Drosophila melanogaster: one gene and its partners. The protein of the gene in region 2 interacts with the protein of the main gene of each other region in a pairwise test. Each region holds a gene or a part of one and is shown on either strand. Other genes may lie near its edges. The genes, in order: Capr, CG4194, Cyp4g1 and Vha68-3.

Region 1 (7,686 bases), on a different chromosome or scaffold from region 2:
TATTAGAAATAGCATTACTTCAGCTGCTGCCACTAGTGTTAATGGTAACATGCAACGTTTGCAACTTGCGTTTCTTTTTGAAGGCCCTGCAAATGACTGAACAAACTTTAACGTGCGTCGTTTTAACTGCCGCTTCGAATTATGTCTTATCGGTAGGTGATCCACCGATCTATTTGTTCAATTATGATTACTGTTCGTTATATAGTTTGTCCTAGGTGCGCTTGTTTATCGGGAGCCACTGACAGTACTATCTGGCATCGGAATAACTCTCATTCTGGCTGGTCTTTGGTTTCTTTGCGACGGAGGAACAGTCGAGTCCGAAAAGCAGGACAAAATGGAATAGTAGGAATGGGATTTGCTTAAGATTAGCTTCTTTTATACACATTTTTCATTTGCCATATAACTTTCTGAAGCAGGGATAAAAATAGTTAAAGAAACTTAATTTTCCATTTGTAACTTTAAAATATAAAAATGTTGGGAACCCCAATTAGTCCAAAAAAACGAATGGTTTATATACTTTTGTTTAATGTATGTACTGTTTTGCAAATACATAGTTTTCATTTCATTTATAATGCACTGTTAGTGTGCACGCTTCTTCATTCACGCGGCAATAATTACAACTATTATGTTTTACGTGGTTTTGTATTTTTGTTTTCATCGTTTGTGTGTAAAAGTTTGGCAGAACAAAAAAAGGTGTTGAAATGGGATAGAGCATGACAGTAAGAGCACAAACTATAAATATATTTATCCCTTCGTTTATATATATAGGTAATAGTAATTAATTTTTATAATTCAGAATCGTTATTTAATTGCTAAGACGTATAAATACTTTTTATATTCTTTCTCTCGACATCTGTAATCATCAATCAGCTTCAACGCAGCCAAACAGACAAAAAGTAAAATCAAGCAAGAAATGGCAGATCCAAGTTACATACAAGTTTTGCCCATCTGTCGTTTGTTTTCCTTGGACGAAGTAGTGTTGTGTCCTGTCCTATCCTGTCTGGGAGTTTTAGAAACCCTTGGAGCGCTTACTTTCCTGTATTTAGTTGTAATTCTTTCGTGTTTCTAACAACTATTTTGTTTTATTATTAATACATTATCGAATAAACCAAAATCAAGGGAAATAGGTATAAATCGTATTGAAAAATGCGCACGAATTGATTTGTGTGTCGGCTTCATTTTCGATTCCCTAGTTGCGTTATAAAGGATTCTTTTTGATAGATTTCCATTTCTTATGGTTGAGAGTGGTTTGCGTAACAATAATTGTACGTCTACGTGGCCATTACTTGCATGTTGATGATTGGTTTCCTTGTTTTCTGTATGGAGGTTGTGTTTATGGTTTGCATGAATTGTATGTGTGTTTTGTTTGCGGGGTTAATACGTATTGTATGCTCAGTTTTTGTTCTCCAGCCCGAGTGGCATGCGTTGCGACTGGTTCTGACGGTTTATGTAGCCACCACCACCACCTCCCTGGTTGCCCGCTCCGCCACGACCACGATCGCCCATGGGCCTGCCGCCGCCATACGAGCCATTTACATTACGCTGCTGGTTGCCACCGCGCTGGCCTCGATAGCTTCCACCGCCGCCGCCGGAGGATTCGTAGCGCGACTCCTTGTTGTAGGTGCCACCGCCACCTCCTCCGTTCTGGTAGTAGTTGTTGCCTCCACCATTGCCCGACTCATTGTTGCGGAAGTACACACCGCTCGAATTGCCCGAATTGCGTCCGTTCGTGTTAGATGAGTTGCCGTATTGACGCGACCGGTAGTTGCCCCTGTCGCCGCCGTTGCGCCGCTCGTCACCTCGCCCTCCCTGATCGCGATCCCGGTTATCCCTGTCTCCGCCACGACGCTGATAATTGCCAGAGTTGCGGCGTCCGTCTCCTTGCGAGTTGTTCCAATGGTTGTTACTCTCGTTGTTATCGGCATAACCGCTATTGCCTCCGCCAGTGCTGTGGTCCCTGGGCGTGGCCCACTCCTGCTTGTGGCTGGTGTTGCTGCTGCCATTGGAGGCGGCGCTACTCATGGCATTCATCTCCGAGCTCCACTTGGTTGGCGGTGCCGGTGGCGTGGCCTGGGTGGTCTCGCCTTTGAGCACATTCGTCAGTGCTGCTGTGGCGGCAGCATTTGTATCATTATTACGGGCATGCCATTCATTGTTCTCGACATCTCCACCAGCACCGACACTCGAGGAGCTGTTCACAGATGACGGCTCATCCAGCTGCTGTAGATTTTGCTGCTGCTGCTGCTGTTGTTGTTGCTGCTGTTTCAGCTGCTGCTGGATCTGCTGTTCATAGGAAACAACAGCATTTTCGTATGAGAACCCTGAGGTCACATCGCCCGCCTGCATGCCAATGCCCTGAGGAGCAGGCTGCTGCGGTTGTTGGGTTGGCAGACGCGGCATAATCAGCATTGGTTGCGGCTGCTGCTGTGGTGGCTGTTGACGTTGCTCGTGGATCAGCACCGGCGAGAAAAGCTGCTGCTGCTGCTGCGGACCCTGTTGCTGGGGCTGGGGCTGCTGCGATGGGAACGATTGGTTGGTGAAGGTCAGCGTCAGTATGGCCTGCGTTGGTTCTTCGACATGGTTGGGCTGTTGCGGCTGCTGCTCAAATACCAATCCCTGATTGGTCGGAGGCGGCGGTGCTAAAGCCTCAGGATTGTCCAGTTCACTGTCCTGCAGAAAATGGAAGCGTCCTGTGCCCAAGACCTCCGCCAAGGGGCGCGAATGCTGCATAAACTGCTGCTGCTGGGGCGTTTGTGGTGCCTGTATTCCAGGACCTTGAGGATGCTGCGGTGGCTGCTTGAAATAGTTTTGCTCCACGGCCCTCACATTTGGAGCAAAGTGGGTTGGGTGTGGTTGCTGCTGTTGTGCTGGTGGAGCAGCTGTTCCTGTTTGCAAGGCCTGGAGATTCACGGGGCTGCTTAACAGCTGGTGAGGATGCGGCGGCGGCTGCTGGGGCTGCTGCTGGGCTGGTGGCGCTGGAGCGTATAGAACATGCACTGGCGTGGTGGTTCCTCCGGCCTGAGGAGCTGCCTGGTAGACCTGGGTCGACACCTGCTGCACCATCGAGTTCTGCTGATGTTCCAGGGATGGAGCTCTCTGGTGCTGCGGCTCCAGAAGATGGCTCGGACGCTCCTGCTGTTGCTGGTACGATTGATGCTGGTCCAGTTCTGCTTGCACGCCCAAATGCAACTTGTCTAGTCCCTCCTCCAAAGAGTTTCGAGCCGATGGCTCAGATGGCAGTTCCGCGTCCAGTTCCCCCGAGCCATCGTTCAACAAGTCACCGCTTTCTCCATCGCCACTTCCAGTTCCACTATCCGTGCTGTTGGCTACCGCGTTCTCGGCCAGTGGAACAAGGTAATACTTGTCCAGGTACCCACTATCCTGGATCTGCTGGAAGAGAGATCGCAACTTCTCGAAGGACACTTCTCCGAAAGACTTCGGACGCGCATTGATGGTCGAGTAAAAGAGTTCGGCAGACTTCTGGGCAGTGGCAATAAAGCTTACATCGTCAGCGGTTTCCGGACGGCGTGTTTGCGTCTCAATGAAACTAAAAAAAAAAAAGGGAAATGGATTGCGGCTTAATATATACCAAAGGGAAATCGTTTAATGTGCGTGTTGATGCGTACAACTTCTCCAGCAATTCCAGTTCGGTGTTTTCCAACTTTTTCGCTCCGTTCTCGCCGTTTAGAAAATCGCTGCGCACTTGATCGTCGTTGAAACAGTTGAGCACGTTCTGAATGATCAGAACCTCCCGAATCTTGGCCGTTTCAGCAATTGTCTTTGCCAGGTTATCCTTAGGTAGAATTTAAAATGAACATCAGCGAAAATTAGAAATTTAACGAGCATACCTTGCGCGCCTGCTTCTTCTGCTCCTTTTCGGCCTCCTTGGACTGCTGCTGAATATGCTTGGCCAGCTCACGGGCAAACTCCAGATTGGCCAGGACAGCATCGTATTTGGCCACTGCCGAAGCTTGGTCCCCGCTCAGTTCCTTTCCGCTGCTCTGTATAGCGCGATAGGACTCCAGTTTGGTCTAGATAAGAGGGATTGATGAGTCAGTTTTAGTCACATTTGTTTGGCTGCAGCGTTTATAATCAGAAATATATACTATATATGTGAAATGTGCTAGCTTTACAAGCTTATTGCTGTCGTTAATGCATTCATTTTTTCTTTGAAAAGTTTTATGGTTTTCCATTATAAATTACATTTTATTGAGCTTCAAACATTTTGTATGGCTACAAATGCCCTCTTCGTAAGATTTGCGGTTTTTACTATTTGATGTTTTTAATTAAATGTTCCAATTCGATGTGGTAGAACTTTACGTGGACGATATTTAAACTGCGTCAACAACTTGCCAAATGAAATTATTAAAGTTGACGCTGTCGCGGATCAGTGACCAAATAACCTTAAACTTTAAAACAATCTGCATTTCAACTTAAAGAAGGTAGTATCAGTAGTAACAAAAAGAAATTACACGTGAGCTCAATTTCGTACCAAATAGTTGCATGATCCTATTTTATTTCTATTTCTTGCCCGTGCTGAAATGTACTTTTTATTTTCATCATATTAATTGTGCGAATCTATAAACAAAACGAGCCGGCAAATAACGTTGCCACCCCCGTCAGCAACACAGCTGTCGACAGTGTGTGCTTTTGAATGCAAGAACTTTCTGGAATAAAAGTGCTATAAAATGTAATAACGTTTTCTGCTGAGCAAGGTAGCAGCTTAAAAAACCCAGCACATCGGAGCATGTAATTTTTTGACTGGTTCTAATTGACATGCCGGCCGCTCCGTGCGATCCGGCAACCCTGTGCTCTAGAAAACATGGCGTCGCGAAAAATCTGCCAGCCCCGAGAACTTAGGCCAAGGGGTAGGAAGGGGGCAAGGGGTGCGCGCAAAACGAAACAAAGCAACACGGAGGAATGAAAATAAAAATGGTGGGCCATGCTGCCGATAAAGGGATCCTTTGCGGCACTTTCCCAAACACTGACCTTGCGCTTCTCCAGGTTCCGAATCTTGTGCTCGATGGTCACCAGCAGCTGCTTGAGCGGATTGTACGGCTCTGGAACGACGGCGGCGGCAGACACAGCATTCGCCTTCGATTTGGCAGCGTTTCCATTGTTGTTGCTGCTCGCCAAATCCGTTTGGCTGCCATCCGCTGTCGCTGCCGCGCTGCTGTTGCTCTGGCCATTGGTGGTTGCGACTCCGGCTCCAGCTGCAACTGCTGTTCCTGGGATTACCGAACCGCCCAGCGAAATGATGGAGGAGCGCTTCTCCTTGCTGACGCTGTTGTTGTTGGTGTTGCTGGCTGAGGCGGCGACGGTGGTGGCAATTGCAGCGGTAACAGTAGCGGTATTTGCAGCCGAAGGCATGGTGCGCCGTTGGATTCTTCCTGGTTGGCTCTCAACGACGTTTAGCTCGAAATGGGGAATGATATTCAATTCAAACGACTGCTGCTGCTGCTGCTGTTTCCCAGTCCAGTTCGCTTGTCTGCTCCTCTCGGGGAAAAAAAACTAGAGCTGGCTTTCGGGCCGATGTGCGTTCGATAGTATCGATGCCGCTTGGGCTAGCAGTTCGATACGATGCACATTGCCGCTGCCGGCGACAATCGATTGCAGTGTGCGATATGGAAAATGTGGTAAGGAGTTGCAAATGTTTTTCGTGTAAATTTTCAATTCGTTCACTTTTTACACTGTGAGATTGTGAAGGAAATAAGTTAATTCTGAAAAGCATTTACTTGTTAACAACTTTTGCAGTAAGAACACAATTCCTGGTATCGATAATCGATATGTCTTTCGACTTTAGAAACATTTTTTGAATATGAAGCGATGATTGATGTTTAAGTACTTTATTTATATTTTGGTGACAAATGCCACAGCTACTCCGCATAAACCCTAACATAGTCTATGACCATGGCGCTGTGCCTGCCCCAAGTGGGGGCCCAAGCATCGCGGTGCTGCCAAAATGAGAGGGCAGCCCGGGGTTCCCTGTTTTTATAAGGCTTGACATCCTTGGCCAATAGACTATCGTCGAAGTTCAGGAAGCCGCCCACCGTAACGCCAAAGATAATAAAGCACTTCTCGTTGAAGAATGGCAGTCCGTCGTACAGCTCCCCATAAACCTCATCGTCTACCATTAGGGTAATCTTATCCCTCTGCCAGATCATGGTGTAGTTGTGAAAGTCGTCCCCGTAGTGGCTGTTGCTTATCTTGTCCTTGAGGAACTGTACTGCATTGCCGTGGTGCCAAACCACACCGCCGCCATATAAGTGGTTTCCGGAGATATCATCTCCTTGTTTCGTCCTCAAATTGGCATTGCCACGGGCATATGCAATTCCTGAAAGTAAGATTTAAAGTTAGGATACAACAAAATGGAAACCCTAGAGCTTTTGAAGTTTTTGAAACCTACTCAATTGCTTGGCATAGTGGGTCTCCGCGTAAGTGGAAACCGGTTGGAGCATCAGATCTTAAATAAATTAAAAATTAAACCGTTTTCGTAACAAGAAAAGGTAAGTTAGTATGCTACTCACAGGGGAAAAGCCAATCCCCCTTGGGCAACTTGGCGCGCACGACGATTTTGCCAAATTTGAAACTGAAAGAGTTTCTGGTGTGAATTTGGGCGGAGAAAACTGGAGGCTTGATGCTATAGAAGATGCCGTGCGCAATGTTGCACTCCTGTTCCGGACTTTCGACGGCCGTACAGCGATCTCCCAGTTTGAAGCTGCCATCGGTGACCTCGGTGGCGATAGTGGGAACGATATGGAGTTCGCCTTCCTTCACAAAGCAGTTGCGTGCGGCATCGTCGAAGGCCACCAGCTCCTCCTCCACGTGGTACATGCGCTGTCTTAAAAGTCGTAAAACATAAGTATCTTAGACACATCCAATGAGTCCACTTATTTCACTAACCGGATGTCATGCTTCCAGGTGGTCTTGTTCAGCTGCGCCTCCGAGAAGTTGTCCTCAAAGATCAGTTCACCCTGGCAAGTATGGCGTCCATTGCTCACTATCGTTTGGGCGGCCTTGCAGCGTTTGGCTTGCTGTGCAGGAGCTAGGTATGCCTGGCACTCGCCCTCTCCTGTAAGGAATGTTATGCCTCGCGAGCTAGAGTCTTTGGTGGTCAGTAGCCGGGTGTTTATGATCACCCTGGTTTCACTCTTTTCGAAGATTTCCTCATTGAACTGCACCAGCATTGATATCTGCAGCTTGTCGTTGTTCTGCAGACTCATCTTTTGCTTGGAGACCCAACTTCCGTTCACTGCCTCCGTGATGTAGTCCATTAGAGCCGGGCAGGTGTCGTCAATTTGGAACATGTAGAACACCCGCTGTATGCCAGGCTCATCTGGATCGATATGAAAAAAGCAACAACGTGTCGTTACTAAAAGTAATTATTCAAATAAGACTTAGTCTAGGCTGATTTTGCTAATCCACCAATTTATTTGTTTTATATACGTAGTTTTTACTATTGAACCTATAGTGGATTTTCAAATACACTTCAAAGCTTTTTCCATATGAATAAATTAGCCAAACCATTGACATTTATGATGTTATTTATTTAACCATAGAAGTGTTGTAGAAGTCACCTGGTATGGACACTTCGAATCCTTCATCCTTTAGCATTTCAAAATTAATACTGGGTACTTTAAAACCAAAGATTTTATTGTTTGAAATGAGCAATAATAAACATGGCAG
Region 2 (3,207 bases):
CGATGGAAAAGTTGTCCCTACATCTGTTTCGCTGGGTAATTCATGACTTGCTGTTTTTCATGTTTGCTGCTTCGATGGAAATGTTTGATTTCCGATCAGCACGCCTCCGTCCGCAAAAAGCCGAATCATCAGCTCCTCTATCATGGGCATATCGGCGATACATATACCAGCGATACCATATTACCATACATCATAAAGCCAGTCACTTGAGATAGGGGCGTGTAGACATTATCGCCATATCAGAACAGAACCGACACACGTTTACAGGTGTTACGGTTACGCTTTATACAATAGGTGTTTTCCTCACCGCCTGGCTTTTCTTGATGACGTAGCAACTTGAGGTTCTTAGGTATGCCTAGTTGACGTGACATTGCAGTAGGTCGGATGAGTCAATCGATTCGGACTTGTCGCTAGGATCCGCTTTGTTGTGGTCAGGTAACCATCGATGGCAATTAGGCAGCTGCTACCCTATCCTCGGTGTTGCTTAAAATAAGTGCCCTGACACACACAATTTTACAATTACATATCATGGTTTTAAAGATAGTTAGTATTTATTGCTTTAGACTTTTCATTAAGGTGACTGTTCAATCTAATTTTAGTTCAATTGTTTTCGGAAATGGTCACAAATCATTATGAAACGAACTTTACTTATTTGGTATAGTATAATTTCTCTGAATTTTTGACAGTGACTCAACGAATCTGGTTATGAATGATGATCTCTGGCAATTTAAGTAAATAAATATTGATCCTCTGTTTAATCTCAAAGCTCAACTTTTGGATAGATGGATTTAAGTGTTTGATTTACTTAGATTTTCCACATATTTTAGTTTTTGTTCGAGCCCTTCTTGACGGCCAAGAGCTCCAGTCGCGTAATAGCATCGTCCAGAAACCTGCGCTGCTCCTGCAGCTGCGGTAGGAGCTCCTCAGCACTAAGTGGGTGAGTGGGCTTAGGTGTTGCCAAGCCCGTTGCAGCTGATTTTGCGGATTCAGTCCAACGACTCCGCAGACCTGATACTCCTATGGATGGCCTAAGCATGTCCAGCACTCTTTTAATGATAGAGGGACTGGAATCCTGCTGCGGATCCGGGGAATGATCCTGCTGGTGGTGGTTATGTTGCTGGTCGCTGGCCACACTGCCCTGTGGAAACTCTGGCATGGTCAGCAAGGGTCCCCACAAAAAGGAACCTAATCCGGGGCCAGCCGGCGATGCGCCTTCCGACGAGTGTCCTTCCAGTTGCTTCCCTTGGGAGGCAAAGCGTCCGTCGAGCAGCTCAAGTTGTCGTTTCAAATCATCCAATTTATGCTGCAGGTGTTCAAAGTCAGCCGTTAGATTGATGGCCAGCCTCTGCGTGGTCTCGCCCTTGGAGATTTCCTCGAGCTTTTCTATCTGAACGCCTATTTGATGATCTCTTAGCTGTAGATCTTCCAGCAGAAGTTGAGTTTCCGCTCGAAGCGGCTGCTCTAAAAAAAGACGTGCGATCTCCGCCTGCAATAGCTGTTTGTGGGTGCGCAGCGCACTTAGCTCCAGTTCCTGAGGATTCCCAAGATTCGAACGGACCAGAACTGATCCCAGGATCATAAGCAAACACACAAAGACTTCTGAACGCGAGCGAAGCATTTTCTCGACTGATATTCGTTTTTTGTTGTTTCTACCTGAGCAGCAAGCGGTGCCAGAATTTCCCTTGGACCCTTGGAGAAAAACTGGAAAATTTTGATGTGTCCATTCACCTACACACTCTTCTTATCTGTATTGTTATCTCCGTTTCTCTTTGCTTGTCTCTTTACATGATGGCTTCGGCAGGTGGTGCCGTGGGTTCCTACCAGTCCAAGTGCAGCAACCAGAGTCCCAGTACAACCATGTCGACGGAAGAGTCTTCGCCGGATTCGGAGTACACAAGTGCGGTCCCCGTGGACTGCAGAGTTACGGATCTGAAGGAGAACGAAATGAAGCAGGTGGACTTCGATGAGGACACCCGCGTGCTGCTCGTGAAGCAGAACGATCGTCTGCTAGCAGTGGGTGCTAAGTGCACCCATTACGGAGCTCCGCTCCAGACTGGAGCTTTGGGTTTGGGTCGTGTCCGCTGTCCTTGGCACGGCGCTTGCTTTAACCTGGAAAACGGAGACATTGAGGACTTTCCTGGTCTCGATTCCCTGCCATGTTATCGCGTGGAAGTGGGTAACGAGGGACAGGTGATGCTCCGTGCAAAGCGATCGGATCTGGTGAATAACAAGCGACTCAAGAACATGGTCCGACGCAAGCCCGACGATCAGCGAGTGTTCATCGTGGTTGGCGGTGGTCCTTCTGGCGCTGTAGCCGTGGAAACCATCCGACAGGAGGGCTTTACTGGGCGCCTAATCTTTGTGTGCCGCGAAGACTATCTGCCCTACGATCGCGTTAAGATCTCCAAGGCTATGAACCTTGAGATCGAGCAGCTGCGGTTCCGCGACGAGGAGTTCTACAAAGAGTACGATATCGAACTGTGGCAAGGAGTCGCCGCCGAGAAGTTGGATACCGCTCAGAAAGAGCTGCACTGCAGCAATGGCTACGTGGTGAAGTACGATAAAATCTACCTGGCCACAGGCTGCTCCGCCTTCCGGCCGCCTATTCCCGGTGTTAACTTGGAGAACGTCCGCACTGTCCGAGAGTTGGCGGATACAAAGGCGATATTGGCATCGATCACCCCGGAGTCCCGCGTCGTCTGTCTGGGATCGAGCTTTATCGCCTTGGAGGCAGCTGCTGGGTTGGTCTCCAAAGTGCAAAGCGTCACGGTTGTGGGTCGTGAAAACGTCCCACTTAAGGCCGCATTCGGCGCGGAGATTGGTCAGAGGGTGCTCCAGCTGTTCGAGGACAACAAGGTGGTCATGCGCATGGAGAGCGGCATCGCCGAGATCGTTGGCAACGAAGACGGCAAGGTATCAGAGGTGGTGCTGGTAGATGACACGCGTCTGCCTTGCGATCTGCTGATCTTGGGCACTGGCTCCAAGCTCAACACCCAATTTCTGGCCAAGTCGGGCGTGAAGGTAAATCGTAACGGATCCGTGGACGTCACTGATTTCCTGGAGTCCAATGTACCCGATGTGTATGTGGGCGGTGATATAGCAAACGCCCACATTCACGGGCTGGCCCACGATCGCGTGAACATCGGGCATTACCAGCTGGCTCAATACCATGGACGAGTGGCGGCCATCAACATGTGCGGCGGGGTA
Region 3 (4,758 bases), 1.6 Mb from region 2:
CGTTGTAAGCAAGTATAAAGTATCAAGTAAGAAAATAGCTGGAAGGGCCGAAAAACCCAGGTACGAAATTATGTATGTAATTTATTTCGGGAAAACCTAACACCACCACCAACCAAAAGTAAATTCAAGGCGTTTAAAGTCCGTTGTAATGATTTGAACTATGTATGAATGTATGTATGTATGTATAATTGCTTAAGTCCTGCAATCAAAAGTCCAATAAAACTATTTTTACCATTTTATTCGCCAGTTGTTCGCAATTAGATATGTATTTGATTAGCATGACATTTATTAAAGTCTAGTTAGTATAATCAGTTATAAAACGATGGGTGGCACGTGGCTTTATAGGAGCAAATGCAAATTTTGCTCTCTTTTCATACTATGCATACATAGGTAGACATGTATGTATATAAAAGAGATCGAATTATGAAACAGTTATCTTTCATCTCTCTTTTGTTCCCTTTCCTTTTCCACTACATCAACTATCGACTGTTCGAGCTTTTAATCCCGTTACTTTGTTCTAAAGTTGCCTGAAATGTAACTTTATTTTGACTACACTCTGTGATTTCAGTTATTCCGGTCAATTTGGTGAGTGCAGTTTGATATTGGAGGCCTACATTCGGTTGGACTACGATTAGTGATAAAACGGCGAAATTAGTTAAAAACCATTGTTAGAGGTTTTCGTAGTGTGTTTTCGGTGTCGCTTACAGTTTTTGTAACTGTGGTTTCAATAAATGCTGTTAAATATCTGACGCAAATGTTCGGTGTAGCTTACGGTTACTTTTACATGTGATGTACATACATATGTACATATGTAAATAGCGGTCGTGTTATTTCATTGTATTAAATCAAGCAACAGAGGCAATTTATAAATAAATTAGAATCTCAGGTAAGCTATAGGCAACTTATTTTCAATAAATTGCTTATCATTTCAACATCCATAACCTTAATCATTGCAAACTATTACTAATAGGATTTCCTATAAACATAGACCTATGAGTATAACGTTAAATGTTATATGTTTAATTACTATGCCTTGCGCACGCGCTCAAATAATCAAAATGCCATAAAAATAAATGGTAATAAGAATCACTTATAAAAACAATCGGATAACGATGGAGGAGCTGGAGGATGTTGCGGACGAGGTCCACAAAAGAGACAGCTTCCTTTTCTTTGTCTGTGGCTTACATACTCTCTTGTTTACTCACTCGATATTTCCTTTTGCATACTTTTGCTCAGGTGTCGAGGACAAAAGCGCCGAAACCAAATTTAATAAAAAGCGAAAGCAAAACAAAGGAATATCATTAAAATGTCAGGAAGCGAGGCAAGAATCACCCACTTCCGCTCACCAGCAGGTAAATGCCGTAAAATACAGGTAGCCGAACAGCCAATGGCTGGTTTGCATATTCTAGATCCTGGCATCAAACGTACATCCGCAAGAAGTAGGGTTGGTGAAAGAGACAGTAGACACATTCACTTTTCATTCAAATGTGTCGCAAATTTCGCAAAAAATAGCTATTTTTAGAACTACGGAACTAAAAAGTTCGTTAAAAGAATTTTACGCTGTTGAGGTGTTTAAACGAACTGACGTCCAATGGAGGAACTCAAATAGTGTTATAAATGTTTTATTATTTAGTGCAAATAATGTTTCCTAATACTAGGATTCAATGTTTATGTTTTTAAAATGGAACCACGAAAGGATTTTAATTAATATACTATACCAAACGTAAAATCAAAGACAACCACGGACTTCGAAATGCAGTCATGTCTGCTTATACGGATCTACAATGACGCAGTGCAGGCATTGGTTCCAAAGGTATCACCGCAAGCGAGTACGTGACTTTGATTTGCTTTGCTAATTAGTGGGACTGGAAATCAAAGTGGCATATGCTTGACTTCAACCAGTGGCCCCAGAACTCTTGGAACCATATAAAATGTTGCATGTGGTCAATGGCGATTCACAGTTGAGCACTGGCGGCTGATATAGCAACAGTGCCATCTTCAGAAGACAAAAAGGATTTGCACCAGAGGACCAGGGATCAGGAGCAAAGAAGCAACAGCAACCATGGCAGTGGAAGTAGTTCAGGAGACGCTGCAACAAGCGGCGTCCAGTTCGTCGACGACGGTCCTGGGATTCAGTCCTATGTTAACCACCTTAGTGGGCACCCTGGTGGCCATGGCATTGTACGAGTATTGGCGCAGGAATAGCCGGGAATACCGCATGGTTGCCAATATACCATCCCCACCGGAGTTGCCTATTTTGGGACAGGCTCATGTGGCCGCCGGCTTGAGCAATGCCGAGATCCTGGCCGTTGGCTTGGGTTACCTCAACAAGTACGGAGAAACCATGAAGGCCTGGTTGGGCAACGTCCTGTTGGTGTTTCTAACCAATCCCAGTGACATCGAGTTGATCCTGAGTGGGCACCAGCACTTGACCAAGGCGGAGGAGTATCGCTACTTCAAGCCCTGGTTCGGTGATGGTCTACTGATCAGCAATGGACATCATTGGCGTCATCATCGTAAGATGATTGCCCCCACCTTCCACCAGAGCATCTTGAAGAGCTTCGTGCCTACATTTGTGGATCACTCAAAGGCGGTAGTTGCCAGGATGGGCTTAGAAGCGGGCAAATCCTTTGATGTTCATGACTATATGTCGCAGACCACGGTTGACATCCTGTTGTCTACCGCCATGGGTGTGAAGAAGCTTCCGGAGGGTAACAAGAGTTTCGAATACGCCCAAGCCGTCGTCGACATGTGTGATATCATACATAAGAGGCAGGTTAAATTACTGTACCGCCTGGATTCCATCTACAAGTTTACTAAGCTTCGCGAGAAGGGCGATCGCATGATGAACATCATCTTGGGTATGACCAGCAAGGTGGTCAAGGATCGTAAGGAGAACTTCCAAGAGGAGTCACGTGCGATTGTTGAGGAGATTTCTACACCTGTTGCCAGCACTCCCGCTTCCAAGAAGGAGGGTCTTCGCGATGATCTGGATGATATCGATGAAAATGATGTGGGCGCCAAGAGGCGATTGGCTCTTCTAGATGCCATGGTGGAAATGGCTAAGAACCCCGATATCGAGTGGAACGAGAAGGACATCATGGATGAGGTGAATACAATTATGTTTGAGGGCCACGATACCACCTCGGCGGGATCTAGTTTCGCCCTCTGCATGATGGGAATCCACAAGGACATCCAGGCTAAAGTCTTCGCCGAACAGAAGGCCATCTTCGGGGATAATATGCTGAGGGATTGCACCTTTGCCGATACCATGGAGATGAAATATTTGGAGCGCGTAATTTTAGAGACTTTGAGGTTGTACCCACCAGTACCACTTATCGCCAGGCGTCTGGACTACGACCTGAAGTTGGCCAGTGGTCCGTACACGGTTCCCAAGGGCACTACGGTCATCGTGCTGCAGTACTGCGTGCACAGACGTCCAGACATCTACCCCAATCCCACCAAATTCGATCCGGACAACTTCCTACCCGAGAGGATGGCCAACAGGCATTACTACTCCTTCATTCCCTTTAGCGCTGGACCCAGAAGCTGTGTGGGCCGCAAGTACGCCATGCTGAAGCTAAAGGTCCTGCTATCCACCATCGTGAGGAACTATATTGTCCACTCCACCGACACGGAGGCAGATTTCAAGCTGCAGGCTGACATCATCCTAAAGCTTGAGAATGGATTCAATGTCTCGTTGGAGAAGCGTCAGTACGCCACGGTGGCCTAGAATCCAGAAATCTAGGACCCCGACTACACACACGCAACCCCGAACCCGAAACCGGAATCCAGCCCTGTATATAGATGATGAATACCGATGAATATCCCAAACCGAAAACTTGATGACGAACTTATAAATCTAAAACACCGAATAAGAACCCAACGCACAAGCCAGCCAGAGAGTCAATTAATTTTTCTTTCGTTTTTTAACTCGTTACTTTTATATTTGATTAATACCTTTTTGTTTGTTGGTCTTTAGCGAGTGGTGCCCCTATATAATGTATACGTATATACTATATATCCTTTTAACCAACTATTCAACGCAACTGTTTGTGCTCTTCACCTTTTTAGTACTCCTACTTTTACCACTATCTATACTTTTTTTTCGTAGCCATGTAGTGTGATTTTTTTTCTTTATTCTAGTATTTATTAAGTCAAATGGTTTAAACGAAACCCAAAAAATATGAAAAATACACGTATGCGAGGCACGTAGCCGATAGAGCTGCAAAACAATTGTAATTGCACATCTTGTAATGTTCTCCTTCTGGGCGGTCGTAGTTTCTACGAACTTGGCTAACATGCCAAACTATAAGAAATTTGAATGCAGATAGACAAACCAAGTGAACAAGTCGACTTGGCTTATGATTCTGCGGTTTTCCAATCAACAAGTTAATGCGCTAATGCGAGGCAATCGACGGTTTGCAAACTGCTGGCAATGTCATAATATTGATTCAGGCCGCTGTCCTTGGCAAGGTATTTTCTGTTTTACTTTATTTCGCTCGCATTTTGGGTACCTGTTCATATTTGTTAGCATTATACTGATCTTAAGTCGACACCTCATTCGATGGGCGATTTGTAATGCGATTAATCGGATGCAGATTGCGATGCTGACAAATGCGAATGCTATTGTGTCGGAATCGGTAGCAGTTTATCGCGGGTTTCGCGGTCAATGAAAAGGAGGTGTATCGGAAATTCGTTAGCCTTCTCTTCTTGTGATTAGCTGAATTCCGCCGTTAGAAGCCGGCTTTCCCTTTT
Region 4 (4,781 bases), on a different chromosome or scaffold from region 2:
TGCTTTTCCGATTGCGGCTGCCAGAGGTGTGAGCTGGGAAATTCGTTCCGTTTTCCCGTTTTTGTCGGGGCGTGGCCGCGCTTTTGGCGCATTAACAAACTTTTCCTATAAATCAACCAAATTTTTTATAATCTCCTTTGCGTTCCCGCCGAGGTTGGGCAAAGGATTAACTGCGGCTGGCATCCGCAGGGGAGCTGGGTGGAAATTTTCAGAGCAGGCAGACGATGCACCATTATGGCTTCTAATGAGCAAAACGCGTTGGCGGGTAAATGACTTTTCACCAACTGGAAAATGATTGCGATAAGTTGGCTGCAATTACTACTCGATAATCGCTGTTCGGTGGTGGTTCGGTTCAAAGTGGTTTCCTCTCGCATGCAAACGTAAGTACTTTTTTGATTATGATTATCTAATGTTGGCTTCTCTCTTAAAATTCAATTAAATCGTAGTTTTATCAAAGAGATTGTAATGTCCTAATATCTGTTATATATACATTCGTTATTTCATTTACCTTTTGTAATAATATATAAAAATAGGAATACTAATATTTCATTTTGCTTTGTAACATTTCTATGGCAGATGATGCACTTTAATTTTTAAAATACGAATCGATACAATAATTTAAGTCTTCACTTATCCATCACAACTTCTAATAGTCCTCGACATTATCCTCTATCTCCCGGAAAGTTGAAAGGATATTGTCATGCAGCTTGTTCATGCTCTCCAGGACAGTCGCTTCGCCCAGCTTGGGATCAATGAACTTCATGGTGGAGAGCTCGTACAGAATGTTAGCGGCTTTTATACGGATCAAGCCCCAAGTTACACGCGCCTCATTGTCCGCCGTGTTCTGCACCGACAGGATCGCCGCATCATAGAAGGTCATCATGTTCTTCAGCATGCCAATGGTCTTGAAGAAGGGGCAGTAGGCATCGTACTGACTGTAGGAGTTCTGCTGCAGGAAATCGTCCTTCAGCATCTTGGCCACCTCAAGGGTGATCTTGTCCTCCTCGTTCAACGACGACTTGCCCACCAGTTGGACAATTTCCGCCAGGTCATCCTCCTCCTGCAGCACCTTCTTGGCCTTAGCTCGCAGATGCGTAAACTCCGGATTGGATTCCTCGTAGTAAGTGTCCAAAGTGCGCATGTACTTGGAGTACGATTGCAGCCAGTTCACCGATGGAAAGTGTTTCCTCTGGGCCAGCTTCTTGTCCAGACCCCAAAAGACCTGAACGATGCTCAGGGTGGCGGAGGTCACGGGATCAGAGAAGTCGCCACCGGGAGGCGACACAGCTCCCACAATGGACACGGATCCCTCACGATCTGGACTGCCCAGGCACTTCACCAGTCCGGCTCTCTCGTAGAAGGAGGCCAGCCGAGCTCCCAAGTAAGCCGGATAGCCAGCATCGGCAGGCATCTCGGCCAGACGTCCGGAAATCTCACGCAGCGCCTCCGCCCATCGAGATGTGGAGTCCGCCATCATGGACACATGGTAGCCCATGTCGCGGAAGTATTCCGAGAGGGTGATGCCCGTGTAGATCGAGGCTTCTCGGGCAGCCACCGGCATATTGGAGGTATTGGCCACCAGGGCAGTCCGCTTCATAATCGATTCCATGGTGCCATTGACCTCAACCTCAAGCTGCGGAAAGTCCCGAAGAACCTCGGACATTTCGTTCCCGCGCTCACCGCAGCCCACGTAGATGATGACATCTGAGTTGGAGTATTTGGACAGGGCCTAGGGGTATAAGTTGATTGGAATGTAATCATTTGTCAACTAAACTCTTAGAAACCCTCTCACCTGTGAGATGACGGTCTTTCCACATCCAAACGCTCCTGGAATGGCAGTGGTTCCGCCCTGGACACATGGAAAGAAGGCGTCCAGGACGCGCTGGCCAGTCAAGAGTGGTGAATTGCTGGGGAGCTTATCCTCCACCGGACGACACCTCCGTACGGGCCACACCTGGAGCATGGTGTGCTTGGTGATCTCGTCGTTGAACTCCGTCTCCACGATCACCTCGTCCACGCAGTAGTTCCCGGGCGGGGCCAACCACCGGATGCGCCCCTTGGTGCGGGGCGGTAGTATCAGGCGGTGATCGTGCATCATGCTGTTTTCGAAAACAGATCCGTAGATGTCTCCGCCGGTGATCAGAGCATCGATCTTCAATTTTCCGGGTGTGAATTCGTACGCAATGTTCCTGGGCAGGGAGGGCGTATCGATGCCCTTGGGCACGTATATGGAGTTGGTTAGTTCACTGATGGACCTCAATGGTCGCTGGATACCATCGAAAATGCTGCCCATGATGCCGGGTCCCAATTCCACGGAGAGCGGCTTTCCCGTCTGGTAGACGGGATCACCCACGCTCACACCCGAAGTATCCTCGTAAACCTGAATGGTGGCCATATCACCCTCCAGTCGAATGATCTCACCAACAAGCTGGGAGTGTCCAACGCGAACCAGCTCGTACATGGCTGCGCCGGCCATCTCCTCGGCATTGACCACCGGACCGGAGACTCCGAAAATGCGACCCATCGTCGCCTCCTCCTCTTCTTCATCCGACGAATATTTGTGCGTATCAACCACCTGCTCGATCACAAAACCCGAGTCCTCATTCTTCTCCAAGGCGATGTGAGCGCTCTTGTGGGATTGGTCCGTCGAACGTCTCAAGTCCTTCAAACTGTCCTCGTCATTGACTGTATCATGGGGACTTTCCGGCTCGGCTACAGGCTTGCGTGATTGAGGGGGAGGGGGTACCGGATTGGATTTATGGTCATTACGTTGGCAAGCGCAGGTTGGACATGTGCACTTCTTAGCCGGAACCGTTGGGTGAGGCACGGACCTTGGCTCCCCATCTTGGTTTAACGATCCCGAGTTGCGGGCTCTGTCTTCGTTACTTGCGTTACTGTTGGTGAACGAGGTAAGCGGTGCAACCCAGGACTTCTTTTCCATTTGGTTTAAATATATACAATTTTTTCACTTGGTACAATTTTTACTAATATTGTCAAATAAATAAAATAAATGGGGCAGAAGTTTATGGAAAGACTAAGGTGATGACTGAGAATGATATAGGATTTTAGATTATGCTTTTCAATATATTCCCATTTTCTTAGCTTTCATATAGTCAAGTATGTTTATATAATGAAGGTTTAAAATTCAAAAAAATATTTTAACTTATTATCTTTTTATCGAGTTGACACATTTTTAATATCCATTCTGCTGCCAGTGAAATTCACTTTCAATTACATTAAATGTATTTGTTGTTGCACTTTATTCGTACATTTAATATTTCATACTTTAAATATTTACATAAATTTAACAAACAAACAGGGAGAAAACATGACTTTTTTCACAAATAAACAAGAATTTCCATTCATTAAACAATAATACTATTTATGCATGCATTTGTATTTGTGTCTTTTATGTATGTGTTGTGTGTGCGCCAGTGTCCGTGTACTTTTATTCAAGTGTATGTTGGTGTTGTTGTTGTAAATGGAAGTACATAGCAGGACGTTGTAGTTGCTGTTGCCTAGAGTTGCCCTTCAAGGGGCGGAGGGGGCGTGGTTAGGGGAAAGTATTAACCGCAGGCCGGAATGTTTACATCTCTCGCAGGCACCAAGAAGTTGTGGTATTTGTTGGACTTTTGTTTTTCATCGAATGCAGCACGGAATTGTTGGTGTTTGATTAGGCTTTTTCGGATGGTTTTTGACTGCTTTCATTTTTAAACGTTAACTATATAACAAATATAAGATTAGAGTGTAAAAGTAGGGCCAGCGCGGTCTCTAGTCCTCCAGATTTCTGAAGGCCTGCTGCAGGTCCTCGTGCAGCTGCTCGAAGTCAGCCTTGATCTTGGCCTCACCATCCTTAACGGGGTCCTGAAATGGATTGAAAAATGTGGTCACCCAGTGTCTAGGCAATGGATAAATTTGCGTGTTAACCCACCTTGAACTTCATGGATGACAGCTGGTACATAATGTTGCCCATTGCCTCACGAATCACGTTCCAGGTGATCTTGTTCTCAGACTGAGCCGTAGACTCCACGGAGTGACGGGCCATGTCGTAGAAGTCGATGATGTTCCTCAACATGCCCACGGTCTTGTAGAAGGGGCAGAAGCGATCGTACGAGGAGTAGGAGTTCTGCTGCAGGAAATCGTCCTTCAGCAGCTTGGCCACCTCCAGCGTGATCTTGTCGGTTTCGGCCAGAGAGGCCTTGCCGACCAGTTGCACGATCTCAGACAGATCCTCCTCCTCCTGCAGGATCTCCTTGACCTTGGTACGCAGCGGCACGAATTCGGGGAAGTTCTTGTCATAGAAGTCATCCAGAGCACGCATGTACTTCGAGTAGGAGATGAGCCAGTTGATCGAGGGGAAGTGCTTGCGCTGGGCCAACTTCTTGTCGAGACCCCAGAACACCTGCACGATACCCAGAGTGGCGGAGGTCACGGGATCGGAGAAGTCACCACCAGGAGGAGACACAGCTCCGACAATGGACACGGATCCCTCGCGCTCGGGGTTACCCAAGCACTTAACGCGACCGGCACGCTCGTAGAAGGAGGCCAGACGGGCTCCCAAGTAGGCTGGGTAGCCGGAATCGGCAGGCATCTCAGCGAGACGACCAGAAATTTCACGAAGAGCCTCAGCCCAACGGGAGGTGGAATCAGCCATCATGGACACGTTGTAACCCATATCACGGAAGTATTCGGACAAGGTGATACCAGTGTAGATGGAGGCCTCACGAGCAGCCACAGGCATGTTGGAGGTGTTGGCCACAAGGGCGGTACGCTTCATGATG

Evidence for each region.
Region 1: the proteins of CG4194 (region 2) and Capr interact in a two-hybrid assay, tested with the Drosophila melanogaster proteins (one large-scale study listed by BioGRID).
Region 3: the proteins of CG4194 (region 2) and Cyp4g1 interact in a two-hybrid assay, tested with the Drosophila melanogaster proteins (one large-scale study listed by BioGRID).
Region 4: the proteins of CG4194 (region 2) and Vha68-3 interact in a two-hybrid assay, tested with the Drosophila melanogaster proteins (one large-scale study listed by BioGRID).

Annotation. Positions count from the first base shown.
Region 1 is NT_037436.4:18,667,642-18,675,327, forward strand, and holds Capr (caprin), read right to left. Parts: upstream 5,684-7,686; 5' UTR 5,371-5,683; coding exon 4,990-5,370; intron 4,032-4,989; coding exon 3,849-4,031; intron 3,794-3,848; coding exon 3,627-3,793; intron 3,548-3,626; coding exon 1,393-3,547; 3' UTR 512-1,392; downstream 1-511. Other genes in the region: CG42495 (uncharacterized protein), read left to right, coding at 7-152, 206-343; GNBP2 (Gram-negative bacteria binding protein 2), read right to left, coding at 5,877-6,334, 6,407-6,463, 6,528-6,841, 6,904-7,336, 7,578-7,686.
Region 2 is NC_004354.4:2,067,018-2,070,224, reverse strand, and holds CG4194 (uncharacterized protein), read right to left. Parts: upstream 1,634-3,207; 5' UTR 1,619-1,633; coding exon 824-1,618; 3' UTR 537-823; downstream 1-536. Other genes in the region: CG4199 (uncharacterized protein), read left to right, coding at 1,802-3,207.
Region 3 is NC_004354.4:466,533-471,290, reverse strand, and holds Cyp4g1 (cytochrome P450 4g1), read left to right. Parts: upstream 1-1,955; 5' UTR 1,956-2,062; coding exon 2,063-3,733; 3' UTR 3,734-4,234; downstream 4,235-4,758. UniProt on the Drosophila melanogaster protein: May be involved in the metabolism of insect hormones and in the breakdown of synthetic insecticides.
Region 4 is NT_033779.5:12,977,060-12,981,840, reverse strand, and holds Vha68-3 (vacuolar H[+] ATPase 68kD subunit 3), read right to left. Parts: upstream 3,056-4,781; 5' UTR 2,942-3,055; coding exon 1,793-2,941; intron 1,730-1,792; coding exon 647-1,729; 3' UTR 548-646; downstream 1-547. Other genes in the region: Vha68-2 (vacuolar H[+] ATPase 68 kDa subunit 2), read right to left, coding at 3,772-3,864, 3,932-4,781.